Arabidopsis thaliana: one gene and its partners. The protein of the gene in region 2 interacts with the protein of the main gene of each other region in a biochemical or structural test. Each region holds a gene or a part of one and is shown on either strand. Other genes may lie near its edges.

Region 1 (10,443 bases), on a different chromosome or scaffold from region 2:
AGGTGCATCCGAATGCAAAATTAGATATATTTTGAATGTAATGAAAACTAGAGTTTGAATGCAATCGTAGCATCAACAAGACAACAATGATCAAACGTCTAAAATATCATTCTTTGAATTAAAAATGAAACAAATTTAAAACAACGTCCGATTTTATATATGTTCACCAATTTCATAAAGAATTCATGAATTTGCCATCACTCGAGAATCCAATTTTCTTATTTGTTATAAAAATGTTTACTAGTGTAGTTTTTAAATTAACAAAAATTTATTTGACACTAACTAATATCCAAAAAAAAAATAGAAATAGAAGAATCCTACTCGATGATGTTTTATTTGACAAAATTTTATTTGACACATACTTCACATTTGATGATGTTTGCTTTTTACAAGAATCCTACTCGAATATATGGTTAATCTTTAGCAAGAAAATAGAAGAATAAATGAATAACCTCTCCCGAATCTGTGAATAGTCGATGAGCTGTTTCCAAACGAAATTTTTTTCTTTTCTTTTCATCTAAATGTGCATTGAGAGTCATCATTCGGATTCAACATCCAAATTCAACGCCATGATGTTGGTTATGAATTTTTAAAGAATACAATGCAATCTTGTATCAAAATAACTAAAGACAACATCTGTTTAAGCTATTAGTTTTTTTTCTTATGATCGATTTAATTTTACATAAATTAAATAGCTAGAAAATAATTTGTATTCAATGAATAAAATTTTATGTGAAGATAAAATCGACATTGATTAATTGGCTGCCTAGATACCGTTTACTTTGATCATCAAAAGTATTCTTCCACCGATTTATAAAAAATCATGGCGACCTAATAACTCTATACCCATACCCTTCGAATGGGAACATATTGATGGGTACATTTCGTTGACAATAGAATCTTAGATATTTTATTGTAATTACCACAAGAGTTTTCTTAGATATTCGTTGCAGAAAAAAAAAACAGGAAAACGATTTATAATTTTCTTAGATATTTATATATCCAAAAAAACAAACAAGAATTGTAATTACCACAAGAGTTTTCTCTCTTTCTTCTACAAATATGATATATATCTATAACTCCTCTAAAACATATTTATCTATCTCTCTATATAATCTATACACAAAGATTGATGGTGACAAGATCATTGGATTGCTATCTCCAGTTCTTCTGGTTTAAATATCAGAAAACAAGGATCAAAGGATAATGCATTAACCAAATTTCGAAATTACTACTTTGATGAGCAAATGTAATAGAATTTGCTTCTGATTTTGATGATTGATTGATGTCAACCATGTTGTTTCAATGAATCTTGCTTAGTAATGAAAACCGAGGCTAGATGTGTTGTAGAGACTCTGTGATTGAGTTTCCCAGCTTCCAGATGGCTGAAATAGAGAGATACAGAGACAGGTTACTTCACTGACAAGGAACAAAAACTCTGACAAGTTTTTCAGTTTCATATAAAGCTGTACTTACAGCTTCGATAGATGTCGTTTGGTTCGGGTTTATCGCAGACAAATCTAGAGATCCTTGCTGGTCTAACGGAAACAATGGCACATCAACCATTATTGATTGCTTTGAAGCAACTACATTTGTAAAGTAAGCCTGAAACTGAAAATTTCATAACCCTTAAGTTTGTTGAGCAATATCAATATGACTTTGAGGGTCTAGACAATGTGTTTTCACCTGTTTTACGGATACATCTTCCACGGCAAGCTCTAGTTCCGGGTTCAAGACAGCAAGTTTCATCGACAGGAACTGCAAAGTATGGCTCTTTAAGAATTAGACTTATTCTCTTTGGTTAATAGTGAAGTTAAGTTACAGAGAATCATGGTTTCATTGCTTACCTCGACTTGTCTTTGGAGACATTGAACATAATTGATGATCTCATCAAGCATACCAGCTTTTCCTGTGACCTTATTGCATCCAGGCACAATATCTTGCAGATATTTCATTTTCTTGCTGATCTTTTCTCTTCTCGCCTGCAAATCCAAATCCATTCAGAAACCCTAGATATATCATGATTCTTGTATCACAAGAAACTTATTTATTTTTATTACCCTTTCTGCTAAGCTGTGTCTGTCAGTGGCTTGGCCTCGACGAGCTCTCACGTGGATATAATCTAATTTCTGATTCTCTGAAGCTCCTTTCGATGTCTCCTTTGAAGTGTCTGAAGATGCTTCAGTGTTTCCCATGTTTGATTTTCCTTTCATGCTTGACTCTGTCTCAGCCTCTACTTTGATCTTCTTCTCTGTCTTTTGCTCTTCCCTTGTCTTAACCTAAGACATTATTAATAAAAAATATCAAAAACCATGTCTCAAAACAAAGTTTTTATCCAAAATTTTGATCTTACAAACCTCTGGTTTTCTCTTGTTCTTCAAGGCAACGGCTCTGGTTTCTTCACCGGTCTTCAACAAAACCTCCATTGTATCCACAGGTTCCATATGGCAGCTACTTGTTCTTGAAATGGATTCATGTGGAGGACCAAAACCCATGTTATAGTTTGGTCCAAAACCAGATCCAAGCATTTGAAATTGGCTGAAACTACTCTCCAACAACTCATCATTGTTGCTTCCATGGAACTGAAGTATCTGAAGAAGTTCAGGTGAATTATTACTGCTATGGGACACAACTTGTTGCAGTTGCTGTTGTTGCTGTTGTACCCATTTAAGCCTTTCAAGTACAGACATGTCCATAGAGTTTAAGGACAAGCTTTCTTGAGAGACAAGACCTTCCAACATATTGTTCTCTGCAGAAATCTTTCAACTTATGATCTTTTAAAGTGAGACCAAAAGTACAAAACAAAATAGAGAATGGGAAAAAATGCAAAAAAGCTCTGAGTTATTTGGTGGGTTTAAAGCAAAAGAGGATTTGCTATAAATGTATGAAGAAGTAGAGATTTAGGTTATGTAATATTGTTTTTGGGTGGTTGCTTAAAAAAGATGAAAGAGTTGGGAGAAACTAATCCATTGAAATCATTCTTCTTAGCTTTAAATAGAAAACAACATTGACCCACACACATAAGGTCCCCTACTTCTTATGTTTTTATTTTATTTTCCTTTATAAATGTAGAAATTTCATTTACTTATTTGTTATCTCTTACCTCTCTAGAAATAAATACTCTCTTACCAATTCAAAATGGTACCACACGTTTTTTATACGCCACAACTTTTTTATACGTATCCCTTAAAAAATATATAGCAATAACAATAGTTTTCTATTTTACGTAGATGTTCAACATAACATTTGTATCGGATTTGAGACCGATCTTTTATGATAAGTTTACGAAAATGGTCGTACTGTAGCTATGTGATAGTCACAAATGACAGTGAGATAGATTAAACGTTAGCGTTGGTGGATAAATCGGGTCCATCGTTTAGAGACACTTGACTATGACTAGGAGAAAAAAGAGGCTCAAGAACAAATTGCGGAAAATAGTAGTAAAGATTCGGTATCTAAGAGAGAGAGGGACATAAATTGATAAAAGAAAAGGTTGGGAGCAAAGAAGGTGAGAGGAGAAGGTGTAGGGTCTAAGTGACATAACCCACACCATGTGGGCATGTCCTTATGAACACTAAATTTAGAGGTTCTTTATCCCTTCTTTGTGTGTGTTATGTTTTCTTTTTTTTCTTCTTCTTTTTTGCCCTTTCAAGTTTATGAGAGGAGCTTTACAAGGAAAAAATAAACAATGAGTGAGACCTTAACATATATTGACATTTGGAATAGTCAAATTAATTGAATTCAATCCAAACTAAAATTCAGAAAATTGATTGTTTCTATAAAACTTACTTACAAAGTAAAACCCAAACAAACTACATTGAATCCATGTAACAAAACTTATATTAAAAAAAGTTTGACCGCAAAATTTGCATCATGACATTATTGACATGTAGTCTAATAGTTTGTATTTTGTGTTGTAAATTGTAATTGTATCAGTACAAAAAAAAAAAAAACTGAAAAGAAGAAAACATCGCTAGAGAGAGGGGTCGAACCTCTGACCTTGTGGTTAACAGCCACACGCTCTAACCAACTGAGCTACTCCAGCTTATTGATAACAATAATATATAACTAACTATATTCAGTTAGTTTGAAATAAAGACACAAGACAAGATCATGCAAAAGATCTTGTCATCTTGGGTTTTCCATAAAAGAATCAAACGAAAATCCATGAGTAGATAGATAATACAGCAAGACAACAAAGAACAGTATACCACCAACCATTGAATATTTTAGAAATTAATCTATAACATGACATGTTAATAATTAAAAGCGACATCAAAATATATTTAAAATATATAAAGAAAACAATGGGTTTGAAGATAAGTGATTGGAAGGTAGGAGACCATTGCTTTTGATCAGAGTGTTTGATCATATTCTTCTGTCTACTAGAGTGTGGGCTTCCAACCTAAAACCAATTGGCAATAGGTGGAGAGACCCATATCTTATATATACCACTTAAGATCCTACTTAACTTCCGATGTGGGACATTGTCCCTAATACGCCCCCTCGAGATGATGGCTCTTCTAGCCATTGATCTCGATATGTTTGGGCATGGATCGGCGGGCCAAGTATTGGGCCGGACCGATGTGGATCGGGTTGAGTATGTGCGGATCGGGCTCTGATACCATATTAGAGTGTGGGCTTCCAACCTAAAACCAATTGGCAATAGGTGGAGAGGCCGCTATCTTATATATACCACTTAAGATCCTACTTAACTTCCGATGTGGAACATTGTCCCTAATAGTGTCCTTCTCCATTCACTGTTGTAATACTATTAAAGTTATAAGTTTACCCACTTCCAAATTTCAATCACATTCATAAGAACTGCAAAACGAGCGATTTTTTTTTTTTTTTGGATTTAAGTTCTTATAAGTTTTCCATTGTGAAAAAGTTAGCTAGTTATGTTAATATTATACATGTAGCAATATAGCACAAAGTCATTACTTTCAATCTACATAGTTGGACCAAATTGAATCAACTTTATAACATTGGCTGCATTAATGATTTTTTTCCTAAAAAATACAAGTCATGATATAATTCTTAAGGTTTCTCACATCTAAGATGTATCTGTCTAACAATATTAAGTTGTTTCTTTTTGATAAAAAGTTTTCTAATTTGTTTACTGATAATATCAAACAGAACCGTTGTAATAACAATATCGATGCCAGTAACAAAAGCTTATATGTTTTTTTGTTATGTGTAACAGTCTGATACACAAATAGATTACTTTTTTTTCAGTGTTTTCACGTCCAATTCGGACCCTCCAGTTCGACCGGTTAACCCACAATCCAAACACTTCTCTGGTTTGGGTTAAGTATTAATAACCGGAAATACTTACTATTGGACTCAAGAAAGAATGAAAGGGTGTGATCCATTTCAAACCCCATATTTCTTAATATGTTTTGATTTTACAGCAGAGAGATTTGGACAGGTTCTTCCTCTGCCATTTCAGCATCATGAGGATGATAACAATAATGAAACTCTATCTTGCGTTAAAGAAGAGAAACTCTCGGTGTTATATCAATCCCTGTGATAGAGATTTGGATTATAACTAAGATTGAGCCCTAAGTGGTGTTGTGGACCCCCTTCTTAAAAGTTGATATAGAACCACTCACTGTTCTTGATTTTCAGTTTTATGAAGAGACTTGCGGTTTCTTCATTGATGAAGAGAAGAAAGTCTTCGTGGTTTTTGAGTTAGATGAATCTCAAGCCTACAAATATGCTTACATCATTGGAGAGAATATATGCTTGAAAAAATTGGATCTTGGAGAAGTTAGAACATTTTCTTGCCCAATTGTGTGCTCCAGCTCTTATGTTCCAAGCTAAGTTTAGTGAAAATCAAGGAAGAGGAAGAGCAAAATTAGGAAAGAGAAGAAGTGAAAGCGAACCAAGTTAACAACAAGGTCTAACACTACACTATTAGTCAAAAAGGAAACAACAAGAGTTACAATTTATTAATAACTTATAACTCTTCTTTGAATTAGAAAGAAAGAAAATAAAAAAAGCTCAACTTTCATTCGTTTTTTTTTCCTTTTCTTTTGCAATGTCCTTTAAACAAGACTAATATAATATTAATTTTGGTCATAAGTAGTATTTTGAAAACTCTTGTATTATTTTCTTTTGAGCTTGAGTTGGAGACAAGGTGATATGTTCGAATTTTGAAATGAAAGCAATCGGCATGATGAACAGATTCAAAGTTCTAGTACTCATAGTAATACCTCAAAGTGTAGCATCCAATGTTGGGCCTTATATCCAATGCAAACATATGAAGTCAATGTTGCGCTTACATTAATTTTCAAAGTAGAGGAAGTAACTGTCGACTACAAACAAGCTTCGATGTTGGGCCTTACATCCAATGCAAACATATGAAGTCAAGCCTAGTGTAATCAACAGTGCGTGTGAAACAAATGTAACAAAATAATAATAAATGGTCACAAGTTCCTTCTATGACGACATTGTATTGCATGTCATATATCCAATATTCCAAGTGACCAAGTCGAAATCCAGTTTTATTTATTTGGACAATCCTTCTTTCATTCATAATTTCCCAACTTCAACGAGGACTAAAAAATTAAATTGTATTAATAAATATATAGAATTGAAACACTATAGTCTATAAATATATATAAACACTATACTACAAACCTCAATATCAACATTTACTTATTTTTAATCAAAAAAATAGGCACCAAATAAAATACCCTTCTATCCGGACGAATCCTTGTGCTTCTGATTCGATTACGAGACAAATTGAATTAGTTTATATCTTAAAATAAAAAGTATTCAAAAGCTTAGAATAATTATGATCTGGACCAGATATGGTAAATAACTAATGCAAATTCCTTTGCAAGAAAAAGTTGAAGAACTTATTGTTGCCACACTCCCACAACTAGTTTCATAGCGCCACCACCAGTAAACATGCATGTGTTTGATTCCTAAGGGGTTTTTAAGTCGACATTAAAAAGGCTAAATTGTTCAAATAGTTATCTTACAGATTGTTTTCTCATGATGGCTAAGCCAATGCTCTATGAAATTTAACTAAAAATTATATATTAAATTTTGCTGTCGAAAATTCGATAACCAAAAATCTACATAAAACTCTTGGATATATGCTATCTACTAAAAACAAAAAAAACCATGAAGATAACATTATGCGGGTTTGAATTTTGGATGATGATACAATGAACATACCAATCTGAACCACTAGATTTAAATGTTTTGATCAATAAATTGTACAATTAAAATGAAGTTTTTAACAAAGTTATTACTTTATATATATTTTAAAATTTTAATTCTTATTTTATGAAAAAGTGAATAAAATTCGTTTTTTTCGTTTCTTTAAAAGGTGAAATCATAGTAACCACTGTTTCTAAACAATTTTCATTATCTTCAAATTAAAAGATTCATTTTTTTTTATTATTTTTGTTAACCGAGGACTATCCAAAGTCTTACTATATAATCTTCCAAAATCTATAAAAATTTCAGGTCAGTGAAAACGTTTACGGATGGTCATAGATAGTTGAAATTGGGAAAACTCGAACCCTGACAAATAATATTAAATTTGAAAAAAAAAAAATCAAGATTCCATATAATTAAATGTTTTATAATTTACGTGGGCATGTGAGTACGAGGGAGCATCTTAACAACATCGACTGTGGAACTTTTCAAAGGGATCATGTAAAGTTGGAATCTGATCAAATAAAATAAGAAAACCTTACTTTAGCAGCGAAGTTTGGTCCATATAGGCTATAGAACAACAACGAATACCCAATACGAGTAGCACATGACGAGGTGGATCATAGTAAAATGTTGATCACAAAACAAAATTTAATGAGTGAATTAGGTAGATGACACAATTGAATTAAGAAAATAGTAATGTAGTTTTTTTTGTTAGTTTTAATTTTATCTTTCATTTAAATGTTATGAGAGATGTGAACTTTATTTTGTAGCATGTTATTATGTCATGTGGACCTTTATTTCATTTATTAGACGCATATATTTGTTGTTATATGCATGTACGTTTACTTTTACAAATGAATGTCTACAGCAAAAAAAAAGAACTCTAGATTCTATAGCTCCATCCCATAAAATAGATGTCCACTGGGAAGTACATTTTAAATATAACCTTAATTTTTGTAATTAATTACATGACAATGCCATTAGAAAAATTTAATCAAAAACAAAATCCTTTAATGACGTCATTAAGATTACCAAAATCATTTAACTATAATATTCATTTCTTAATTATAAAGTTTATTGGATCTAAAGACGGGTCATCAAAGATTTCCTAAACTGAAGCAAAATATACCGAATATTCAAATATATATCTGTTACCAAATTATAAACAAATAAGTTCGTAAAACAATTTAATATTTAATATATAAAATTAATTAAATCTTAATCACATAAAAATTAGCACAAAAAAAGTATTCAACAATTAAAAAATTATCAAATCTCTGTGTTATATAAGTTTTTATACTATATTACAATTTCTACAAGGAGATTCTGAAATGGCAGAGGCTTGGTTCGCTACGTCAATTCTAATTCAATTTGTTCTAAACTTCCTCGGAGCTAAAGCCTCGTGATTCAATTATGGCTCTTTGCTGCTATTAAGGTGATAGTATCTGCTTAGCCCATAGTAATAAGATGGTAGTGACCGCTTATCCTAAGTCTTCCGCTGGCATGGGTGTAACTGTCCTTCCAAAGTACCTCAAACAGTCCTCTTACGAAGCCTATTCCCGGCCTTACTCTGCATTCTTTCTTTCTGGTTGTACTAAGCAGGAGCGTTCCCCCTTACTGGCTAGGCAGCTAGTAGATGCTTGGCTTTCATTCCATTCCATTCTGATGATAAATGAAGAAAGAGGTGTCGGACATCCTTTCCTTAGTAGGGTTTCTCCCTAAACAAAATACCGATTCAAGCCCCTTTACATGTTGAGATTAAGGACGAATTTATAAGGTATGAGACGACCCAGAAAGCACTTAATCATGATAAACTTAAGTAATTTAAGCTAACTAATATATTTGCTAATCTTATACCTATCAAAACCGACTATCGTTTCTTATCTCTATAGTATTTTTGCAAGACTTTTTGGTGGAATTGGGTATAAGTGTATTCGGGTCATATGGTACATTCTTCTATTAAATAAATATGGTGCACTCCTATGTTATTAGCTAAAATGTTTAGATTATAAATATAGTCATATCATAAATAAAATTAATATTAATAAAATAAATGGCTTTTTGGCAAGACGGATTTGGAGGGACGGGTTTTTGAATCAACATTAATAAAAAAATAAAATATAATTACTCCACCGTTTCAATACGGGTTAAATCTTTAATTTATTATTTTTTAAGACCAGTAATATGAAACATATCAAATCATCCTAATTTAGAAAAGATTATATAAAACCAAAAATGTTATGTAGTATACTGATATGTATAATGTTACTATATATAAAATTAAACTATAAAATATAAATGTATTAGATAATGATACAATTTGTAAAGCTTTTATATATAATAAATAATTCTTAAATTTTAAAAATTACTACTTTATAAAAAAATACGGGACGGGTAAAGAAATTACAGAACGAGTTTTATTTTGGAATTGGGTTATATGGTAGATGTATTTGAATCAATATTTATAAAATTTTAAAGTATTATTAATATGCTGTTTTAATAAGGGTTAAAACTTCAGCTTTTTAACAATTGTCTCATGGATTCGTGGTATAGCGTTACTTAATAACAATTATAAACTGTAAAATATAAATATTTTATAAAAATAAAACTTGCAAGTTTTAATATATTACCTTTAAAAAATAAATCGTTCTGCGGTATACCGCGGGTTAAAATCTAGTTAACATATAACGGAGAAAATCACTCATATGATAAGTGATAACAGTTGATTGAAGAATAAAATCATTGAAAGAATCGTTATTAATATACACTCTTCCGTTTGATTTGTTGAATCAAATGTGTTAAACATCCGTTCAAAGGACAAGGCCATAAGCGCCTGTTCAAGTCGAGGATCGCAAGGTAAGTTTCCTATACCGCTACATGTGTACGTGAAATAACATACTTAAAGTATGAGGTTATATGGTCTGCGAATGCATGAACCAAAACCAATGAATGATGGTCATTATCGACGACAATGATTTTGAATCATAAGCGAGCAAGACATGACCTCAGAGGTGGCAAGGAGATCTGAGTATCCGAACATTGCGAGTCTTAATGACAATGTGAGATTTCACATGGACACGGTTTCTCAAAATAATTAGTATTTGTTTTCGTGTTTTTTTGTCGTTATATGTTTTCAATCGATTATGTGTCAAACTCATACAGAAATATGATATTACAATGCTTAGAACATGGTTATAAGTGATAATTATAAAATATCATTAAAAATAATTTAATATTATTTATAATATTTGTTTAATAGATTTT
Region 2 (11,555 bases):
CTCGATTGCTATTCGGTATTCCTGAAGATTTTCGAGACCGGGTTGCGAAATATCCGGATTATTTTCGGGTTGTTACGGGTGGAGATGGGAATAGAGTGCTTGAGTTAGTGAATTGGGACACGAATCTTGCGGTAAGTGAGCTCGAGAGACTGTTTATGATTGACGAAGATAAGGCGAAACGGGTGTTTAAGTTTCCGGTGAAGCATGGGAAGGAGTTGGAGTTGGAAGAGAAGGATACGAGGAAGCTGAATTTGTTGAATACGTTTCCTCTTGTTTCGCCGTATTCGGATGGTTGGAAGCTTGATGTTTGGAGTTTGGAAGCGGAGAAGTATCGCGTTGGGATTGTGCACGAGTTCTTGAACTTGACGTTGGAGAAGAGAGCTTCGATTCATCATATTGTGGAGTTTAAAGATGAGTTTAGTTTGACTAGACAGACTTATCAGATGTTGAAGAAGCAGTCCATGAGTTTTTACTTGGCTGGTACTGAGATGAACTGGACTGTGTTTTTGAAGGATGCTTACGACGAGAATGGTGTTTTGGTTAGTAAAGATCCACAGGTTGTGTTTAATGAAAAGCTCTATAAGTATGCAGATATGCAGCAGATGGAGCAAGTTGGTTAATTCTGGCTCAAATAATGGATATAGATTGAGCAGAGAGATATTATATCTCGATAGTCTTGGATCACTCTATTCGAAAGAGAGCTCAAGTAGTTGTAGTATCAGTTATGATCTAAGATTGACACATAATGAATTGAGCTACAATGTTGTAATCTGAAAGCATTTTACACTTTGCTACAAACTGGTAAGCTAGCTATGAATCAAAGCCCCTCATTGGTTTAAGGAACAGTTGTGTTTATTATACAAGATGGTTAAAATATGAAGTCACTGTGAAGCTGAAACACTTCTGCTTGATGAGCTTGATTCTGCAATTGAGACAGTAGCCAAAGACTTGGAAGCCCATGCTCTAGCATTCATGGCTCCTTCCTGCAAATTGCTACTCATGCAAGGTTCTTTAAGATACATGGTCACAGTATGTTCCAAGGGGTTCCCTAGTCTCATGTTTGACACCCGTCCCCAAGTGAATTTCACGAACACAACCATTGTGGGGGAAATCAAGTGTAGTAATCTCAACAAGACGAACACCGTGGCAAGCGTCAGATAAGTCTCTTGGCGAAGCAGATTCTCGGGTGATCTTCTTGCCCATGGGAACGGGCAATTTTCTGGCTCTGCGTGGAAATGAGGAACTAATCTGTTTCTCTCAACCCATCTTTCATCCATCGTTTCAATTCCTACATGAATGAATTTGTCCTGGTTAGTTTCATCTGCTGAAATCTTAATTGGTATATACAACCTATAACAGGAGCACAATAGCAACCACAACAAGACTGAGGCACACAACAACACAAAGATATAGCCAAAGTAACAACTCAAATACCTTACCCGTAACATCAGTGTAGAAGGCAACAAGGGAATCAAGAGTTCTCGATCCCCGGTAAACTACGAGCATTGTCGAATTCATAAGGATGATAGTAGGAAACCCATGAACTCCATACTTGGACAAGGTACTGAACCATACCACACCACAAAAAAAACTGAGCATCAAACCATGAAGTTCTCAATCAAATTACACGATTTCAGTCTTTTATACAAAACCCACCTAGCTTTAACTGATGATTCCTCAATTGCAAAGTGTGGAACCGATGAATATAACAGAGACATAAGATCAAAACTTGGTCTAACTAATCTGGAGAAAGGACACCATGATGCATAGAAGAGTAAAGCCGCATAGTCACACTTATTCTTCTTATCAACCATATCTGCAGCCATTTGTAGCCACCGATCATCTCCCTTCATAAACAAACAAAAACATCAATCACAAAACTCAGATCAAGAAAGCAAATGGTAGATAAATCAATGATTCTTAAAAGTACCTCAGTGACAAAACCAGGACGATGCAAGGCTGACTTATCTCGAAACCCTAAGATATAATCTTTTGCAGATTCTCTAGGACAAATCTGAACCCTAACGGTGGCGTTTGTTAGATTTACGAACAAAACCACCACAACCAACAACAACAAAGTCAGCTTCTTCTCCATCGAAGAAGAAAATTTCCTAGACAAAACGTTTTTGGAGAAAACTAGGATTATACAGACATGACAAAGGTAGGTGTTGCCAGCAAAGAAAGGTTGACAAGTCGTTGTCGTCAAGAAACAAAAATTTAATGGCGTTTACCAAAAAGATTAAAATCCAAATTCGAAGATAGGACAAGGAAGATAAACCAAAAAATGATCCGGTTGATTTGATGACCGTAAAGAAACAAATATTTTGGCTTCAAATAATTTGTCTGAGAAAGAAGAAGAAGTGGCAGTTTACGACACAACACAACTGGATAGTTCGTAAATAAACAAATATTTTGGCTTCAAATAATTTGTCTGAGACGTCAGATACACAAAGTAATAATCATAATTAGGCAAAAAAAAAAAGAGATTTCTCAGAGTCAATCAACTTCGTTGCGGTGGAAGAAAGCCGACCACATATCTTTTTTTTTTTTTCTTTTTCTTAAATATTAGTATCCACTAGCCTATGAGCTTTGGAAAACTCACTTTCAACACAATTTTGTATTGAAAAAATTTCATTGATTATGTTTATGTATTAAATTATTATGATATAAATTTAAGTGTTACATAAATTTTATCTAATTTTATGTTATATTGTAAATATTTTTTAAAGATTGTTAGATTTTTTATGAATACCAATATAGAAAAGAAGAATTATGATTAAACGATATTTTTGAAATATTTTTATATGAAAAGTTATTAGTGAACAAATACATAAAGAAGAGTTATTATTATGTACATAAAGAACAAATATATAAATAATGAGACAGTCCAACAATATTTCAAGGAAAGTGATAAAGTTAAATTCTATAAATATTTTGTTAAATTAATATATTTGCTTACTAAATTTTTAAATACTTTCACATAATTATTATGTATAAGAGAAATAATGTTTTTAGCAAATAAACAATAAACAAGTTTGGAAATATATGAGTAATAAATGAACGCACATAATAAAAAGCTACGTAAAAATATTTGTAATTGAAAAAGTGTGACTATGTTAAACACTTTTCTATTTTTTAAAGAGTATTTTCCCTTTTGTTGTTTTCGTTTTCAGAAAATGCTTTATTTACGTGTTTATTTTAAAATATGCTTTCATCAAACAGAAAAAGATATACGAAGTTTATAAAGTACTTCTCGATGGTAACTATTATTCAGACACTCGGAAAATACAATAAACTAGACAGAGGATGAATCAAATCTAACTACGACGTGTCACATCATAAGAGATATAGATTGGGAAAAATGTCATTTAAATCATCCTTTTACCATTTTCGTTGGTTTAAAGCATGGACTTTAGATCTCGTAAATTAAATCCTTAATTTTATGTTGACTTTCAATTTAATCACAAATTCTCGTTGACTAAGCCAATTGAGGCACAATTTTTTTTTTTCGGTGTCTTCAATCGACCTAAAGACGAAAGATTACTTTGAATTCGAAGAAGAAGAGATATTCCAAAGAAGATAAGAGATTCTGAAGAAAAATAGAGAAAAACTCAGAAATTTTGATTAGAAAGATTTCTAACGATGTGTCTTAATTGGCTTAGTTAACGAGAATTCGTGATTAAATTAAACGTCAACATAAAATTGAGGATTTAAATCACCAGATCGAGAGTTCATGATTTAAACCAACGAAAATGGTAAAGTGATGATTTAAATGACATTTTTCCCGATAGAGATTCGGTTTGGGATGGATCATAAGAGATCATTAAGGAATAGTTCTTGTGTAAAGCCCGTAAACCGGAAAATCGGTTATGGTTTGTGTTTAAATCACCCGGTTTAATCGGTTGGGTTAATGGAAACCCTAGAGTGTACCTATAAAAGAAGGAAACTCGAATTAGAGCTTTGGTTAGTCATTTTTCGTTCTGTAAAAGAGAAAAAGAGAGAGAAGGAGAAGGATCAAAATCGTTAGGATTGGGGAAGAAACAGTTTCAACATATCAAATCGTTGTCAAAGGTAACGAAATTTGGTAGAGTTATTTCGAAGTCTTTCATCGTCGTTTTCCATTTTATAGAAGTTGTTTTGGATTTAAGCTCATTAAGTTATTCACAGTTTCGTGAGACACGTTTTTTCAGACGCGAATTAGGCCCAGCAGAGATTATAACTGAGATCGTGGTCTTGTCTAGTTTCTAATCAGCACGAGATTTTGTGGGAAGCTCGTGACGTCGAAGGCTACTATCAGTATACATACCTATTCGGATTCTCGTTATATGGAAGTAGACGTACGTGTTTCATATACACTAACAAGTCATTTATCATAAATAAATGTGAACTATATATGTTTATAAGATTAAGAATTGGCATCTGTTTGACTTATAACCAAAACTTTGAAAGCCAACAAGTATGAGACCTGGTCTAATACCACAAGCAACAGACTACTTACTATACAGTGTATTATAACATGATGGAACCAGAGATAAATAAAAAATGTACATCAGACAAACTCCTACATAGTTTCTCTCCAGCCCCATAACCGGAATTACATTAAACCGTACCAAATGTACTCGGTTTACAGTCCAACCAGATTTCACCGGAGTTACAGCCCTTATGATGTTCCTCTCCTTTTGCACCTCCAAATGCACTTTTTACCTGTAAAACCAAACATACCACAGTAAATTTCATGCCACTTGGTTAGACCAATGTACCAAATTCCAATTGAACTGTGAAACATAGAAACTTTCACTAATTTTTTTACTGTGGTCTACTGTAAATGCAAACACTTGGATTTGAAAACAGTTCAAAACTTTTCAGCTAAATTCAATTTAAAACTGATACTACTTGGCTAGACAAGTGTGCCAAGCACAACGCGCATCGACGATTTATTTGAATTGTGTAGGAAGATTGAAACTTACTGAAAATTTGGAGACTTTCAATTTGAAAATGTTTAGAATCTTTATGTGAACTTATTGTTGAGAGAGTCGGATTTGCGAGTTACATACCCGGTTTGTGAAAGCCGTCTCCAGTTCAGTATTTCATGGTGATTCTGCAAGTAGCTAGACGTTGTACTTCCTCCTCCAATACCATTTTCTTCACTAGGGAACTGCTCTGAGTACCCTGGAGACCACTCGGGGACTATGCCTCCGCTTCTTTCTCTCCTTCCGCTGCTGGAAGATTCCGCTGTTGAGTCTTCAGTGCTCTCTGCAACAATTCTGATATTAAATTCTGGAATCATAGCAGTGACTTGGTTTGAAGCCGGTTCTGCTCTCCGCTGCTGAGCTTGGTTGGTGTTAACCATGTTCCTTGGAACCTCTGCTCTGCTATCTCCTACTGAATTTCTCAAATTAAGAGACGACTCTTCGTCTTCTTCAGGTCTGATCAAAGAAGAAGTAATGCTTGGAACCATCTGATCCTCATATCTCCTGTTTGGGTTGAGTCTGGTTGGTTCAGTCTCTTCCATTGTAATGTCCCTTGGGAACTCTATAGGAGCTTCCTCTACCTCAGCAGAATCTCCAAGTCCTTCTTCGGATCCGTTCTCTATTGCAGCTCTTGAAGCAGCTTCTAGTTGCCACATCTGTGAAAGCGCTTCATGAAGCCGTGCTTTTGCTTCGTCTAATCCTACAATTGGTAGAGGATAGTTTGATCCAAGCTCGATACCAGCAGCTTGAAGAACGGACTCAGGTGCGTTCCACGGATGATGTATCCAGTCTGTCGGGAGTCTAGAGAGTTCAGGAAGCCATCGCCTTACGTATTCACCATTTGGATCAAACTTGTACCCTTCAAACTGAGGGTTATCTATGCGATCAAACTCCCGGCTATCCGGGAGAGTACCGGTAATGTATTGCCAACCAAGAGCATCGCTTTCTAAATCCGCATCAAGAAGTGTGTCCCAGAAATACTTCATCCCCCATCTCCATGGTAATTGAAGCACTTTAACAAAGAAGCTTGAAACAACTACTCTTATGCGATCATGCAACCAACCAGTAGCCCATAACTCTCTCATCCCGGCATCGACCAACGGATATCCAGTCCGGCCTTGCCTCCATGCCTTGAAATAGTTCTCATCCACAGCCCAAGGGAAGAACTTTAGATGGCCAAGAAGTGGTCTTTCATGGGAATATGGATGGTTAAAACTTATGTACCTAGAATACTCCCTGAGACCAATAGATTTCAGGAAAAGATTCACGCTTTCTTCCCCGGCCTCGTTTCCTTCGTTTGCCCACGCGACCTGTTTGATCCGAACAAGATGAAAAACTTTTCTCACACTCACTTCCCCAAAATGCAAGTGTGGAGAAAGAAACGAGGTTGTAGCACTATCGGCTTTTCTGCGGTTCTTAGAGTATTCAAGCAATGGACCGTTTATAAACGTTGTGAGAGCTTTATCACCATTACTCCATCCAGGAGACCAAGCACGAGCCAGAAGTGCATTGCTTCCTTTCTCAGAGTCATCCTCAAACACCAATGGATCCGCAACACATTTAGACACATCCCCTGCAACATAAAAGAAACATTATTGAATGATACAGATTTGGAAAAAACGAAAACCCACAAGAGAGAGTGGCAAAGAAACAAACCTGAAATGATCTTCTTAGGTGGAAGAAGAGGAGACTCAGGGTCATAAGGCATACTAAGACATCTCTCCCAAAACGCAGCAAACATAGAGAAAGGACGGCCTAATTCATCAGTCACTTCCCATGGCTCATAAAGCAAGTCTGCGTTGAATGATCGAACCGCTATGCCTTGCGCCGTCAAAACATCTTTAGCTCGGTGATCACGCACCAAAGACAATGGATCTGAAAAAGATCAAAACTTTATCATTTCCAGATCATCTTATTCCACAAATACATCAAACAAAACATAACCCATAAGAGAAAAGATGATTCCAATCACAAAAATCAAATCTTTTTATCATGCAAATTCAAAGATAAGATAAAGAGAGAAGAGAAGAGGAACAACAGACCATACAAATGGTTGAAGAAGATCTGAGAAGCACCAGTGGATTTAACAACATCAAGAAGAGAAGCAACACTATCAGTAGATCTCTTGGTGATAAGACAAGTACCAAGACTTCTAAGAGAAGAATCAAGCTGAGCCAAACTGTTCTTGAGCCACCACCTAGAAACCCTACCTGGATGATAGTGTCCTTCTTCTTCTGGTGCCCAAACAAACAGAGCAATCACTGGACCAGCTCTTACTGCTGCTGCTAAAGCTGGATTATCTTCAACCCTAAGATCTCTTCTAAACCATACAATACTACAACCACCAGAACCACAACCAGATACAGAACCAGACATCTCTCACAAACTAAAAAAAACTAAAACTTTTCTTTGCCAATAATCACATAAAAATTACTTTTTTATTCAAACTATTTCCAGAAATCGAAACCCTTTGGTCACTTATCTCTCTCGAGAAGAAAGACAACAAAAAAAAAAAGATTTTTGATGAGAAGGCAAAAAAAAAAAAAAAGCTTATCTTTACGAATATCTCTCTCTCTCTCTGAGTGCCTCTCTGGCAAAATGCAACTATACTTTTGGGAATTATTCACCCAAAAAGATTTTTCCTAATTTTGGACAAAGTAGTCTCTAAGTAATAACCCAAAAATATAGCAATATTTGCATTAATTTCTCTTTTAATTTATTTATTGTTTAGGTTACAGTTTGAAAAAATATTTATCTCTTATTAAATTATAATTATTATTTATTTTTGGTAGAAATATAAAATTATTATTTTTGTCTTAAAGTGAAAAATCAAAGAAAAATAAAATAAAAATAAGTTATCTAAAAAAAAAGAAGAAGAAGAAATTGGAGGTTGATAGAGAGAGGTGAAGAAGATTGACACTAGGAATAATGATTCAATTCACACGACGAGATTTATTGGAATAATTTTCCACCACAACTTTTATTTATTTCTTTCCACTTGAAATATTATCCCAATCCAGTTGAACCAAATCAACTGTGACTCACAAGATTTCTACTCCTTTCCCTAAAATTTCTCCTTTTTTCTTTGTTCAAAAAAAAAAAAAAAATGTAGAATCTTATACTATAATTCTCTAGAACATATTCTACATATAAATATTAAACTGATTTTTTATACACTTGGATTTTAGTGGGACGATTATTGGTTAATTATCAAATGGTTCAATTCGGATTTCGGTTCTGATTCGTTTCGATTTTCGTTTAGGTTTTTAAAATTTCTGTGTTATGAAAAATGGTATATTCAGATAAAATAAAATGATATAATAAATGATTTGGTATAGTTTTGGATTTGAGGTTTTTGGATTATAAATATCAATATGGTTTAGTTTGAATCGGATCGGTTTATCTGGTAAAACAAATGATATCTTAATTTTATTCTTTTATTTTTTTAAAGTTGATTATTAAGGATAATAGAGAAATCATATAAATGATGTACCGAGGATGGTTCTGAAATGTTATTGGAAGGTTAGGATATGAGAGAGAGTGACATATTAGCAAAAGTGGGCGAGAGATGGATATGGTTGGCCCTCCTTGCCTTTTAACATATTTTAGGACTTTTTATGTTATCTATATATATATATATATATATATTGTTTTTGGTGTGGAGAGTGTTTATCTTGATTCATGATAGAGTTAAGACTCCCTTGACAAGTCAATTTAAGTTACCAAATCACTAATCCAAAATTATGAAACCTCTTTTACGGCTTTACCCAATTTTAATTCCATCACATATATGTTTGATAGTTTAGATCTACATTTTTCTCTTCTGATTAATTTTTATAGTGAGCGTAGTTGTCGAATAGTCTTCATAATTGTTTTTAATATGTTTGATAGTTTAGATTTAGATTTTTTTCATCTGATTATTTTTTTAGGGTGAGCGTAGTTGTCGAATCGTCTACTTAAATTTTTTAATAGCTTTAAACATGATACTGAGAGCTGGTTAAAAATATATTTTAGGTTCGAAGAAAATTGATTTATAACTTAGACCTACATAAAAAAAAATAACAAATCAGAATCACTAACTAGCTACTTGTATTTGGTTAAATTCCATCATATGCGTAGGACATTGAATTTTGTGGGTAAAAATTAGAAGATACAAACATACATTTCTGAAAATCATAAATATTCATCAGATTAAGTATACAACAAATTGACGAAAAAAAAAATTTACAACTAATTTACTTTTTTTTTTATCAATAACACATTAATTTAAAGATAACTTCATGATTGGTTTACCGCTCAACAATTAATTCACATCAGACAAAATATATTTAACAAAGCGGATAAATAATATAAAAATGAATAATGATGACACAAATGAACGGATTACATACATTAAAAAAAACAATCATGATATCTGCTCTCGACCACCTCTAAATTAGCTTGTTTTCGAGTGTAAATAACGTGCCTTTTATTATTTTATTGCTCGTAGGAGTATTCATAATATAGCTAGAAAGAGCTTATTATTTTATTATATGTATGTACAAAAAATAATAGAGATTATTATTGATTTTGCCTTTTTTATAAAAATCTTGTGAAAATGATATTTTTCCTAAAATCTTACGGATTTATTATTTTTAACACTTAAAAATGTACCTCGTTACGTTTTTTTAAAATACATACTTATACCAAAGACTAAACCTAAATATAACGAGTAAAACGCATCTTAAATCACATTTTTGTAACCTCAAAAAGGGCAAAATTTACAAACTATTCAAAAAGGAAAAATTCATAAATACAATTAAGAGAATGGCAAATCCGTAATTGATTCATTATAATATATACAATCTAACATAGAAGAGTACCATAATGACAGTAAAGTTATATATGGATATAATAAATTAGAAAACTTCTGCTTTATTACTAGTGAAAATTCCCAAACAAAACTCCAACTATTTTATATTTGAACGTTTAATATCCAAAACTTTTCGGTTGGAAAAACAATACACATACAAAAGAAACTGTAAAATTTAATACACAAACAATTAAATATTTTTATTTTCATACTCACGATCTCAAAATAAAAATAAAATTCCAATTTTATCCTTACTAGCTCAATTAACTATTAATTTTTAGGTGATGAAGCGCTAATTTTATTTAATTTTTAAAAGTTACATTTTATTAATATTTTGTTTCTATATTATTTGCTTTTTAAAATTCAAGAGAAAAAAGCAAAAAAAACTTTTTAAAAATAAAAATAAAAATAAAACATTTTTATGAATTGATCAATCTTAAGAGAGACAATGAGATCGGATTAAGATTTTGTCGAAAATAGTTTTATTTGTGAAGTATTTAAATTCGAATAGTAAGTTTCTCACGACGAAGAAGAAGTTCATATCAATGCTCGTTGATATCATATTCATTACGACGAATGAGATCAAATTAATTTTATTGGCGATTAAAATTATGGATAGGATTAAGAGGAGATCATGAACGGTTATCAAATTTGATGTTGGCAAAACAGGACAACGAAAATTGTTTACTGTCGATTCTCATAGCGATTAATAGAGGAAATCTAGAATCGAAGATTGAATCCCAAGATAAAACATCTCTTTGATATTGTGACAATGTAATATGATTGTAAAAATGAATATTTTTAAATATTTTGATTTTCTCCTAATTTCTTATGTTGAATTTTAAAATAAAATATTTATGAGAAACATGAAATTTTAAAGTTTTGAGACAACATAAAATAAAATGTTAATAAATTAATTTTTATCAAAACTTATAAAATTAATGTCACATCATCTAAAATTAATAATTAATTGAGATGGTAAGGGTAAAATTGGAATTTTATTTTTGTTATGAGAATGTAAATATGAAAATAACAATATTTAATTGATCTACACTATTATTTGAGACGTACGTTAAGTGATTCTCAGTTAAAATTTTTTTTTACCTTAAATCATATGTTTAAAATGTTGATGTCATGGAAAAAAATACCTTTAACTGAGAATCACTTAACTTACGTTATAATCTTGGCCATTCGATTGAATTAATTGTAGTCATTGATTTTTTTTAATAAATCTTACAGCAAGATTTTTGGAGAGAGAATTTTTATTTATTTTCAATTAACATATTCCCTTATTGAATACTATTCATAATTACGTGGGTTTAAAATTGGAAAACTAATTATACTCATATATCAACAATATTTATTCTATTCTAAAAGATTATTAATCCAATTAATTTTTTTAAAACATTTCCTAATCAAATCTGCTTTATTTATAGATATAACATTATAAATATCGAATTAATATGTTTGAATTCGAAATTGGGTTAAATATTCTAAATTTATTTAAATAACTGGAAAAATAATTTTAACAAAACTATTTTTTAATTTTTGATAATTAAATAGAAAAAATATGTTTAAACATTTAAAAATAAAACTAATTATATTTTTGGTTTATATTAATTTTTGTTAATTAAATTAATCGAATTCCTTTTTCAGCAACAGAATCATATTAATTAAAAATATTCAATGCGTATATTCCTTTCTTAAATTTGAATATATCACTTTTCCATAAT
Region 3 (11,491 bases), on a different chromosome or scaffold from region 2:
GGATGTACTTTGTTATCGTCTTTCTTTAGGACAGAAGCTGTTGAGAGGTACCACGAAGTATCGGAATCTGTTGGAACTTATGGATGAGGCGGTGAAGAAGCTCGAAGGTGATGTGGGTCCGTTGTCGGGTTGGGCCATGAAGATGGCTCGAGGCATCGTCAATAGACTTTCTTCGGGTGTGCATGTCCAGAAGCTGTGTTCTCAGGCAATGGAAGCTCTGGACAAAGTGGTCTCACCATCAGAATCTGTTTCAGGACAAGGTTAGTGTGTTCATACATTACTTTGGTTTTAAAACCGAAGATGTTGACTTTAGTTCCTGTTAGGTGACAAGATGACCGTGAGAGTAGAAGAGATTCAAGCAAGATCAGTCACTGTGAGAGTAGACTCCGAGGAGCCGTCTTCTTCTACACAAAACAAGATCACAGGTTTCAGGTTGTTTTGTCGAAAGTCGAAGGACGAAGAATGCTCGTCTCAGGGGAATTGTGTTGTTTATCTACCTGAGACGACGTCTGCCATCCAAGGACTTGAACCCGACACCGAGTTCTGTCTCAGAGTGGTTTCCTTTAACGAGGAAGGTGACTTAGATGAGTCTGAGCTTCGGTTCACAACGTTGAAGGATGATGGAGATGAAGCTGGGGACCAGCAAAGCCCTTTGACAAACTCAAGCAGTGGTCTTTGTAGTAATCCATCTTTACCAGAAGATGAATCTAATAATGTCAATAAAAGCTGCAGCAAAGGAAATGGTGACAAGGACAACACTGAACACTGTAGTGCAGGAGAAGTAGAATCTGAGCTTGAAGAAGAGAGGCTTGTAAAGAGGAAAGCAAACAAGATAGATGGAAGAGACTTGCTTGTAACACCCTGCAAGAGAGATATTTATAAAGGAAAGCAAGGAGGGAATAAAAGATTCAAATCAAGAACAGTATCCTTGAACGAGAAACCTGAGATCAATAATGCCGCAAATGGAGTAGGAGATAAAGACTTGGGTCATATTGTTAAGACGATTAGATGTTTAGAGGAAGAAGGACATATAGACAAGAGTTTTAGGGAAAGGTTCTTGACATGGTATAGCTTAAGAGCTACTCACCGAGAAGTAAGAGTTGTGAAGATCTTTGTTGAGACGTTTATGGAGGATCTGTCTTCTTTGGGACAACAGCTTGTGGATACATTCTCAGAAAGTATACTGAGTAAGAGATCATCGACAAATGGTGTAGTACCTGCTGGGATCTGCCTCAAGCTTTGGCATTAAAAGCTTTTGAAATCGGTCTATTTATTAACTCGCTTGATATTGTAAACCATAACGATAATTTTGGAATGAAATTATGTAAGTACGCATTTCCAATTTCTTTCTGATGCTTAGTGAAAAACTCAAAAATGAATAAGCCTGATTTCAAATGAACCATAGTCTGACAGTTAGAGCCGGGAGATTACACACAAACATTAACATTTTTAAATCTCGAAAAAGAAATAACTCACGAGTTGTTTCCAACCAAATTCAGAGAGTACAAGTTTGTTCTCTATAAGACATCAGAACAGAGTCTGGGGAAGAATTGGAGTAACTAGTAACTACTATCTGGGAAATGCAGCTCTAGCCCTCATCTTTTTGACTAGTGTTCAAGACAGCGTTAGAGGGACCTGCAAGATATATTCAAAGGTTGGTGAGCAGAAATCGATCAATGCGAAAACAAAAACTGGATGCAGAGACACGAAAGATTCTAGTTAATAATCAGAAAAACCGAAACTGCTTAATCTCATCAGAGTAAATGATCCAAGGGCAAGTAAATTCTAAATTCAGCTGTTGAGAGTTGAGACCTATTGGTAAATACCAGCACATAGGTGGAATGATCGGTTTTACGCAGTAACTCGCACAACTTGATCTTGTAAGATGCAGATTCAAATGTGCCAAGGCAAGAAAACTAAAAAACACAAGACTGGTTCCATTTCCTCTGGATTAACTAAAATAGTTCTTCATGCAGATAACAAAACTAACCGAGTGAACTATCTGTATATAGAGCTTGTGAGGATATCACCTGAAACAAAGATCTCTGGTATAGATCTAACTAAACAACCACCAGTGAACTAGATTGAGAAGCAAAACAAGTGAGTAATATAGAGAAAGCAAAATGCTGAACCTGATGAGTACTTAGAATCCATTATCTGAAAAGATGCTGATGAGTTCATTTTCTAATGCAGCCAACAAGTCTAAGAACTAAGTCCTATCTAATTTAATCATACTACACATAGGAGCTAAACCTATCTTCCAATTGATAGAACAAAAACTTGGGAAGCTTAGTGGAAAGCCTAACCTTGAGAAGACTAGCGATTACGCTCGGCCGGTAGAGGACGGTTAAATCCACCGCGACGGTTCATGTACTGTCTTGGCTGACGCTTAGTTACAGCTCTAATACCACTAACATCAGCACCAGCAACTGGTTTGCCTTTTGTGGAATCAAATCCAGTAGGAATCCCTAACATCTTCATCATCTCAATCTCATTCACATCCATTCCTTCTTCATCTTCGCCTCCGCCATTATCAGCAGCATCACTTGGTTGTTTATCCTTCTTCTTAGTAATAGTAGACGCATTCTCGTCAACGGAATCAGTCACTACTCTTTTGCGATTCCTTTCTTTCTCATCGTCTACTGAACCCTGGCGAGGCCGTTTTCGCGACGGAGCATCTGGAGAAGGAGACCTGCGCCTGTGGTGTCGTTGACGGTCCCGGTCCCGGTCACGGTCAATCGAGCGGGAACGAGAGCGATACCTCTCCGGAGAGCGCACGTGGCGAGCACGAGCGTGGTGGTCTGGAGTACGAGATCGGGATTTTTTGTTTCTAAGCCCTCGGTCACGGTCGCGCTCTCTATCTCTTTCCCGGTCTCGATCACGGTCACGGTCACGGTCGTCTCTACCTCGGCGTCTATCACGGTCTGGTTCACGGTCCTTATCCCTCTCTCGTTCGCGGCGGTCGCGCTCTGACATGGTGGTGATGCGACTGAGGAAGGTGCTAGTGTCAGGGTTTAACCAATTTCAACACTGTAAATTTTCTTCCCCAATTTTTTCTATTAAAATGAAAATTTGGGGTTTTATCCTCTATTTTTCCAATTTTCTTATATTCATCATACTCAATGGAAAAATAATAATAATCTCATTTTGTCTCCGAACTAAAAGTATGAAATTGGAAATGAAAATAGTGGTCCAATAGCATAAGAAGAGAAAGGATCTTATTAAAGTTTGTAATCATAAATAAAATTTACAGAATATGAACACAAATGCACTTCTCAAACTTCAAAGAGAACAACAGAAACAAGCACTACAGAGAGAAAGAGAGAGATGACATTTTCACTATATATATTATATAAGCACTAAAAGTCCTCCTAATGAGGAAGAAAGAAGAAGAAGGACTTAAAAAATATGAGCAGTACCAAAGTCCCACCACTGAGTCGCTCTCCCCTAAAGCTCCAGTATCCTAACCGAGAACCCTTTTTCATCTTCTTCTATGGCTGGGTTCTCTTTCATACATAGGCTCTCTTTGGTTACGTGAGATAGCTCGCTAGTGATAATTCGTGTAGCTCACTTAGCATCCATTCTTCTCCGGTCTGACCACCTAGCACTATCGCTCGTGTTCCTCCCACAACACAAGTGCCATGTCCCCAAGCAAACCGAGGCGGTCTTCCTGGAATGTTTAGTATTCTCCAAGTCGGTTTGTCCTCCGTTGGGTCAAGTAGATAAAGCTGAGACGCTGAGTGAAGCCCTGCCACTGAGCCGCCAAATATCAAGATTCTGCCTCCAGGGAGGTTAACTGCAACGTGATCTAGCCTTGGTGGTGGTGCTACTCCTCCTGGGTTTCCTGCTCCAGGCATTCCGCTACCGGTCACACACCTCCAACAAGGCTCCTCTTCGCTTAGATCCATTGTGAAGACATCACTCGAACGGAATTTCAAAGGCCCGCTCTTAGCAAGACCACCAAACATCAAGATCTTTCTTCCTCCATAAACCGATAGTGTGTGGCCTAACCGGGAAGGCGGAGTCCAGGCAGCTGGAATCTCTCTCCACACTGGTTTCTCTATTGAAAGGTCGAGGAGGAACGTGTCACTTAGAAGAACGCCGGAATCTGCACAGCCTCCAGAGACTATCAGTTTGGTTCCGTCAAGGGTGCATGAGCTGTGCCATGATCTTGGTAGAGGCGGAGCCAAACCCGAAATTTCCCTCCAAGTAGGCGGCTTAGCATCGAGATTCAAGACAAACACATCGTTCAGCAAACCTTGCTGACCACAGCCACCAAATACAACCAGATTGGAGCCATTTACACAAGTGAGCGTGTGGCCCCAGCGTCCTGGAGGAGGGGAGCTCACTTTGACATGTTGCCATTCAGGGTAATCAGAATTCAGATCTAAAACAAAGGTATCATTCATAGGCTGCATATTCACACCTTCTCCTCCAAACAGAACAACTCTGTTCCCGACAGCACAAGCACTAAAATTACAGCGAGAAGGCTCAACAGAACCTCCAACCGAAAGTTTTCTCCAAGCTGCAGCTTCAAGGGTGGTCAGTTCTCTAGCCAAGCGGCCCCAACCGAGTCTTTTAGCACCAGGAACAGTCTCTAATACCCGTGTTGTTTCACTTCCCCATGCATTCTGACAAACCCTTCGCCAAAGATCCTCATTCTTTGTCAGCACATATAGCCTGCGGCACACAGAGCTAACAGATGCAACGTCTCTTGGTGTCAGGCGTGACAATATCTTCATAGACACAACCTCGTCACTCAGCTGGAATAACCCACACATTCCTCGGGAAACATTCCGCTCCCCAGCAGCTAAAGCTGAGTATATCCCATCAATTGACTTTTCTTTTGTTGAAGATCCAAGAACAGGTCCAAGGTCAATGTCTGTCTCGATAAAGAACTGGATTCCAATTATATGGGTAATAGTATCATCGTCTCCATAAATAGGAGTCAACCGCAATCTATTCATCAACGGAGATCCATCTTTCCTAAAGTTCAACAACTCGCCTTGAAATTCAATGCCCTCATCAATACATTTTCTTATCTCGGAAACAACCATAGAGTCAACTAATGGATGCCTTCTTTTAGCAAACGGTCCTCTACATTGCAAGAAGCGGCTGCAGAATCCGAGAAATTAATTAAGAAACAATATAAGACCAAAAACAAAATTTATCTCCAACTTACTGATGCGGAAAAGCAATAGACAAAATATTTGGCCGTGCATGTAGAGACTGAAAAAAAAAACAAATACACCAAACAAGCATAATTATAACCTAACCAGATTTTCATTCTGTTCAAGAATAACAACTATTTGAACTGATCAGCTCCTCCTGTAAGATCAAAGCTTATTAATAAAGGAAGCTACTAGCACTTCTCTCATGGAAAACTAACACACAACTAAACGCATTGGACTTAGCCTTTTCACTGGTTCACTGCACATCAACATTGTAAAGAATTTATTGTGTTCGCTACGACCCCGAGAAACTACACAGGGATAGCTCGCTTTATCTCGGCATCTATATACACTTTCAAGTTTCCTTAACATGCGGAGCAGCTGAAACAGCTCAAAAACAGCCATGAGAGCTCGATTAATATGAAAACTACAATCACTGAATAAACATCTGAAGGCAGAGAATACTTAGGCACACACAGAGACTCCACTGAGTCTTCTCTGCCATTTGGCAGAGACTCTAATGATTATCTAACAATAGACATATCTTTGTTTTCTCTCCACCAAAGTATCCATCCATACTAAATCTAGTGATCAATAGAGTGTCCTTCAGATTACCATCATCACAAACATTCCTCACCTATCCTCAAACTAAACGGACCTTAATCAAACTCCACCAAGTAGCCAAAATTTGGTAAAGTGAGCCAATAACCAAAAATAGAAATTCCTCGCATCAATTAGAACACTAATCACAAAGATAACAAAAAAACAACTAACCAATTTCCTCCGAGAACTTCCTCAGCACGATACCCTGTAACCATTTCGAAGACGGTGTTGACATATATAATAGGTTGGTCCGGCTCAACGGCATCAGTAACAACGAATCCACAAGGCGCCGTGTGAAGCAAATTCCCAACGGGATATGGAATTGGTCCACCTCCGGGAAAAAGACCTCCCTCTTCATCATCCGCCAGTGACGAAGCATCATCGGCGCTTAGATCGGAACCACTGTCCCACTCCATGAAAATTCAAATAGTTACCAGACTGATTTCAGTCGCCGGAGATTATGAAGACGGCGATTGAAAAACAATCCGGCGTGAGATAATCGGAAAATTTTGGGAAAAGGAGATTTTCGGGGGTTGAGAGAGAGAGAGAGAGAAGATGGTGGACAAAGAAACGAGTGGTAACCGTCGAGTTTGGTGGAAAAATCTCGGCCGTATGAGTTCATTCGAACGGGTCGGATTTTATCCGGGTCCGGATTTCTCTGTCGGGTCAAGTAGATAAAACCATAAAACTCCCCTTGATTTTTGGGAAAAATGTCATTAAAATCTCCAACTTATTGAAAAAGTTGATTTAAATTATCAACTTCCAACTAAACGAAATAAATATCAAATTTTTGTTGACTTTCCAAATAAATACCAAACTTTCGTATATATGGTCATATTAGGTATAATATTAAGTAGATTAACATATTGCGTTCACGGAGTTAATTTTCTGTTAACAGATCCGTTAATTTAAAACGTTATTGTTTCCTATAACAAGAAAGCGACCTCGTTTTATTATAACGACCGAATTAAATTCCCAAATCCAATCTTAAATCTCCAAATCAAGCAAAATTCTAACCCTAAATCTTCATATGATTTGAAATTGGGATTTAATTGAGCATTTATGACATAACGACGTTGTTTTATTGTTATAGGGAATATTGTCGTTTTCAATTAACGAGTCTGTTAACAAAAAATGGACTCTAATAACAGGGTCTGTTAATGTCATACTTAATATGGCTACTCGAACAAAAGTTTGATATTTATTTGGAAAGTCAACCAAAATTTGGTATTTATTTGGAAAATCAACAAAAGTTTGATATTTATTTCGTTTCGTTGGAAGTTGAGGATTTAAATCAACTTTTTCAATAAGTTGGGGATTTTAATGACATTTTTCCCTTTGGTTTTTAGACTCTCTTTAGCTGAGCTGAAGCTTATTACTTTCCAAATTTGTGGGCTCATGTCTTACAATAAAGCCCATTACAATAAAGCCCATTATAGTCCAGTAAATGAGATTATGTGACTGAATAGTATGAGTTTCGTAATAAGAAGACGCCATAAAATGGAAAAATAGCAAGATCTATAATTATAGTTACGTAAATGAAAATTTGTTAAGGTTGTTGGTTGCTAAATCTTTTCTTGAACCGTCTCAATTATCAATTGCCTATCATTTAATCTCTTCTGTAATGTTCCTTTTATACGCAGAGGACCAAACTAGTTACATCAAATCAATAGATAGTTAGTTGAAACAAATAACTTCTCGTAACTACTGGTTAATCGAATCGGTTCGGTATATCATAGAATCATAGGTGCAAACAGACTTTTAAACCAACATCAAACAGCTGAATTGGAATTAAGATTTAACCCAACTTTAGTGTTTTATATCAACAATAATAAGAATAAGTTGTAAGTACTTATATATAAGTAGTTAAGTACTGTTTTATATCACCAATAATAAGACTGTTTTATAAGCCTAAGTTACCGATATGGGGCAACTATCTTATGAACTTTATTTGAAGGTTATTATCTCATGAAATGAATTGACATACTCAATTTAACAAAACAGGCTTACCTCGTGTTATTAATTATAAGTTTCGTATAAAAATAATAAAATTGATAGTAAAAGTTAAAACAAAATGGAGAAATTGTTTGTAATGATGCTAAATACAATTTTTTTGTATTATATTTCCCTTACAAAGTAGCAAATTGGTCAAAATTCTTCGTCACCTCTTTCTTTTTTCCGACATTCTTCACCTCGTTCTGTAAAACTACTAAGTAAGTAACTAATACAATGCCATACGACTAAACAATATCTTCGCAAATAAAAAGAAAAAGAAAATATTTCTTTTAAATTATGGTATTTAGTTTTTAACAAAAATATAAAATATAGCGATTTACATTTGTATTACTGATATAAATAGATCATATAATTTTGACATTAAAGACTTTAGAAAAATTATAATTGTAAATATTTTTTTTGTGTATGACAATTTAACACATAAAAAGGACGTGAGAGAACAAGTGGGTTTGGTCGGTTGTTTTCTTTACACTTTGCAAAATTCTCTATTCATTCATATCTTCGACGAGATGCTAAAATGCCCCCACTATAAAATTCCTTTTTCTTTATACAAATTTTGAAAGAAAAAAAATTCCATAATATCATGATTAATTGTTTCAGATATTCAATGTATAGTAATTTTCTAAGAAACTTAAATAACTACGTATATGCTGGGAAGATATAAAGAAAAACCTACATAGAGAATACGAACATGAATATCACAATAAGCGTTGGTCCAACGACCTTCCAACAAGCACCTCTTGTATGATTCGACTTCTACATTTATTCATCACCTCTCTTTTTTCTCTTGTTTATTAGATTCTTATTATCATGTGTTTTGTTTCCCCCTTTATTATTATTATCTCTTAGAACCTTGTTCGTTCATGAAAATCTATTATCAACAAAACTGAATTGAAAATAAAAAGAATGATTCAAGATGAAAGTAAATTCACTAAAAGAAATTTACCAAAAAAAAAAAGTATACTTGTTAAAAAAAGAGATTGAAAAAGACATCTTCACTATATATGTTGGGTTCGAATAAATTCGCTGGCCTTTTCTCTTAAGCCACATGGTATGAGAATTGTTTTGTAAAATTTGTTGTCATCTTGTTATTGCCAATGCATCATGATCGTAGAGATGTAGGCTAAAGAAACTTTTTTAAAGTGTGATTTTACACAGCAGCTGGTGGTTACTGCTTAGCCATAAAATTATGTGTTGATATTGACATAAGTGGAATGTCGAAAACATGTTTATTCATACACGTATATTGTTGAAAGAAGTGTTAAACACATCATACGTTTAAAGTAGACAAATCTAGAAATATATAACAAAAGAGAATTTGTTTGTACATTTAAAAAGCCTTAGCTCTTTTTGAGCAAAATATGTAATATTATAATTTCAACACTTTTGAGTGTGTTTACTAAAACTAACAACCTTTATGAAGCAATTGGGATGGGTTTGTGTGATCTAAAATTGAGGTAGGATCGTGGGACCAGGAGAACATGAGATGCATCGAAGGCAAAGTCCAAAGACACTACGTCACTTTGAGTGGATTGTGTACGTGAGGTTGTACGAACCATCATTTCACGTTACATATGTTGCAACGCTGCGTAATCTGTCCCCACCATCCAACTTATTTCTAATTCTTTTTCATAATTATATTTGTATCTAAACTAAGTAGAATACCTACATATTGAAAAGAAATATTACTTGCTAGGGCCTAGGGATAAACGTTAAAGAGAAATATTACTATAGAGAAAAACCCTTTAGTTTTGAACACAATTTCTATGTGTAAACATGCGTGATTGTTATGTAGGCAGATGTGCACTAAGCACTTAAACAGAAAAAGAGACAAGTTTTGAACATGAGTTATGAGTAAAACATATAATTATAAAGTTTTGAACATGAGTTATGAGTAAAAACATATCATTATAAAGTTTTGAGAGCATCTATGAGTAAAAACAGACTAAATTAAATAGAACATATATATGGACAATATAGCAAGTAAAATCTCTCGGACTGACGAAATAGATGTAACTATACTACCAATGCTTGCGATTCAAACCGTCAAAAGTGAAAAATACTGTGAAATAACAAGTCAACTTCTATAAATGAAAATTAATATATATTGTAGACGGTTTATATATACGTTTGGATCATATCGATTCACTAATAAAAAAGTAACAAGTGTTATTCCACAAGTTGCATTTTTCATTTGTCTATAAGAACTTTATTGATCTTAAATAACGTTTATGCTTTTTCTTACACATATATGGAACCGAATTCAACAAAAACTTTCAAATAGATTTGTTTTATATGAACACAATTATGTATATTGATTGTCCATTTATGAAGAAAAGAATAATCTTATGCTTCACACCGTTGACAAAAAAAGATAAACGTATGTCATTAACCCTCTCTTTTTCTGGTACATGTCAGAGCAAAGAAAATTTACTAAAAGGTTATTTTGTTTTTCCTTGTTTGTCTATAAATCTACTGAAAGCTTTAAATGCAATTTTATTATTTTCAAGAATCGGTCTTTTTACACTTCCGCGATACTAGCTAAAGGAATGTACACGTGTCAGGATATTATTGTAGCATCTGATTTTTACCATTGATGGTAACTAAAGTTAGTAACAGAACCATCAGGTCCATCACCGTAAAATATGACTAGCACAGTAGCACCTTTACCAGAAAATAACGCCGTTAGCTGTTTTCATCAAGTCAACAACAACCATTTTAACGGCAGTTTAGATATATTTTAATTTTTTTTAACCATATATCATTGGAAGTAAAAAGTTGTCATACTAAAATATATATCTTTTAAGATCTCAAGGTAATTAAAAAAATAATCAAAGACGCTTAAAATCTGAAATTTTCAATAAAGTAATCATAAATTATTTTATGATTTAAATTTAGGTTTATCATAATAATCTTGAAAGAAATTAAATAATATAATAGTTTTAAGGAAATCTATTTATTTGTTTTTTGATAAATTACATATCTATAGTAAATTAATGATATTGAATGGTGTAGTTGGTTTCTCATAGGTAGAATTAAGACTTTCTCTTTTGTATTAATAAAATTTTATTTGACAACAAACAGAAGAAACCTTTTAATAAATTGAGAGAGATATACTATAGGACATGATATGACAAAACTGTCCTACTCAGTGAACTTCACTAACAGAGCTCAAATTTGAAATCTCAATGAATTAATATTTAATGACATAACAAGTCAAAGTGATGATATTAAATCTTTCCTCCTTGACAAGACGATAATACTTCAATTAACAAAAAAAAAAAAAAAAAGAGATGATAATTTTTCCAGAATAAAATATTTTCGACTTGGACTGGGAATAAAAAAAATGGGGTGACCTAAACCGACGTCGCATAGTTACGAGAGGCATATAAATAGAGAGCCACCAAATAGCCTAACGTAGTCCACCTTCACTTGCTCTCTTTTTTCCGAAGAATCTGGTTCGTTTCTCTTTGAATTATCTCTTTCTCTGTTCTTCTTCTTTTTCTAAAGTCTCGAATATATCTTCATTATCATTACTTTATTTGCTTCGTTCTTCCGCAGTTTTGTGCAAAGTTTTAACGATTTTTTGGTTTTGAACGAAGGCACAGAGAGAAGATGGCGAGTGGCCTCGAGGATATCGTGAACGAGAATGTTGATTTGGTATGGATTTCTTCTTTTTACTCTGTATATATTTTTTTGTT

Evidence for each region.
Region 1: the proteins of CRY1 (region 2) and HBI1 form a complex in vitro, tested with the Arabidopsis thaliana proteins (one study listed by BioGRID).
Region 3: the proteins of CRY1 (region 2) and ZTL form a complex in vitro, tested with the Arabidopsis thaliana proteins (one study listed by BioGRID).

The regions. Positions count from the first base shown.
Region 1 is NC_003071.7:7,951,706-7,962,148, forward strand, and holds HBI1 (basic helix-loop-helix (bHLH) DNA-binding superfamily protein), read right to left. Parts: upstream 3,035-10,443; 5' UTR 2,742-3,034; coding exon 2,358-2,741; intron 2,280-2,357; coding exon 2,061-2,279; intron 1,983-2,060; coding exon 1,848-1,982; intron 1,759-1,847; coding exon 1,687-1,758; intron 1,612-1,686; coding exon 1,477-1,611; intron 1,386-1,476; coding exon 1,331-1,385; coding exon of another isoform or gene 1,317-1,330; exon of another isoform or gene 936-1,316; coding exon 841-935; 3' UTR 699-840; downstream 1-698. Other genes in the region: AT2G18320 (F-box associated ubiquitination effector family protein), read left to right, coding at 4,515-4,604, 4,923-4,958, 5,632-5,826. UniProt on the Arabidopsis thaliana protein: Atypical bHLH transcription factor that acts as a positive regulator of cell elongation downstream of multiple external and endogenous signals by direct binding to the promoters and activation of the two expansin genes EXPA1 and EXPA8, encoding cell wall loosening enzymes.
Region 2 is NC_003075.7:5,720,051-5,731,605, reverse strand, and holds CRY1 (cryptochrome 1), read right to left. Parts: upstream 7,956-11,555; 5' UTR 7,347-7,955; coding exon 7,013-7,346; intron 6,846-7,012; coding exon 6,627-6,845; intron 6,544-6,626; coding exon 5,055-6,543; intron 4,705-5,054; coding exon 4,701-4,704; 3' UTR 4,338-4,700; downstream 1-4,337. Other genes in the region: AT4G08940 (Ubiquitin carboxyl-terminal hydrolase family protein), read left to right, coding at 1-620; APRL6 (APR-like 6), read right to left, coding at 882-1,288, 1,440-1,564, 1,657-1,847, 1,931-2,095.
Region 3 is NC_003076.8:23,236,296-23,247,786, reverse strand, and holds ZTL (Galactose oxidase/kelch repeat superfamily protein), read right to left. Parts: upstream 6,361-11,491; 5' UTR 6,191-6,360; coding exon 5,946-6,190; intron 5,116-5,945; coding exon 3,572-5,115; coding exon of another isoform or gene 3,531-3,571; exon of another isoform or gene 3,464-3,530; coding exon 3,372-3,463; 3' UTR 3,197-3,371; downstream 1-3,196. Other genes in the region: VIN3 (Fibronectin type III domain-containing protein), read left to right, coding at 1-260, 324-1,249; AT5G57370 (U4/U6.U5 small nuclear ribonucleoprotein), read right to left, coding at 2,317-2,976; HA3 (H[+]-ATPase 3), read left to right, coding at 11,406-11,450. UniProt on the Arabidopsis thaliana protein: Component of an E3 ubiquitin ligase complex that plays a central role in blue light-dependent circadian cycles.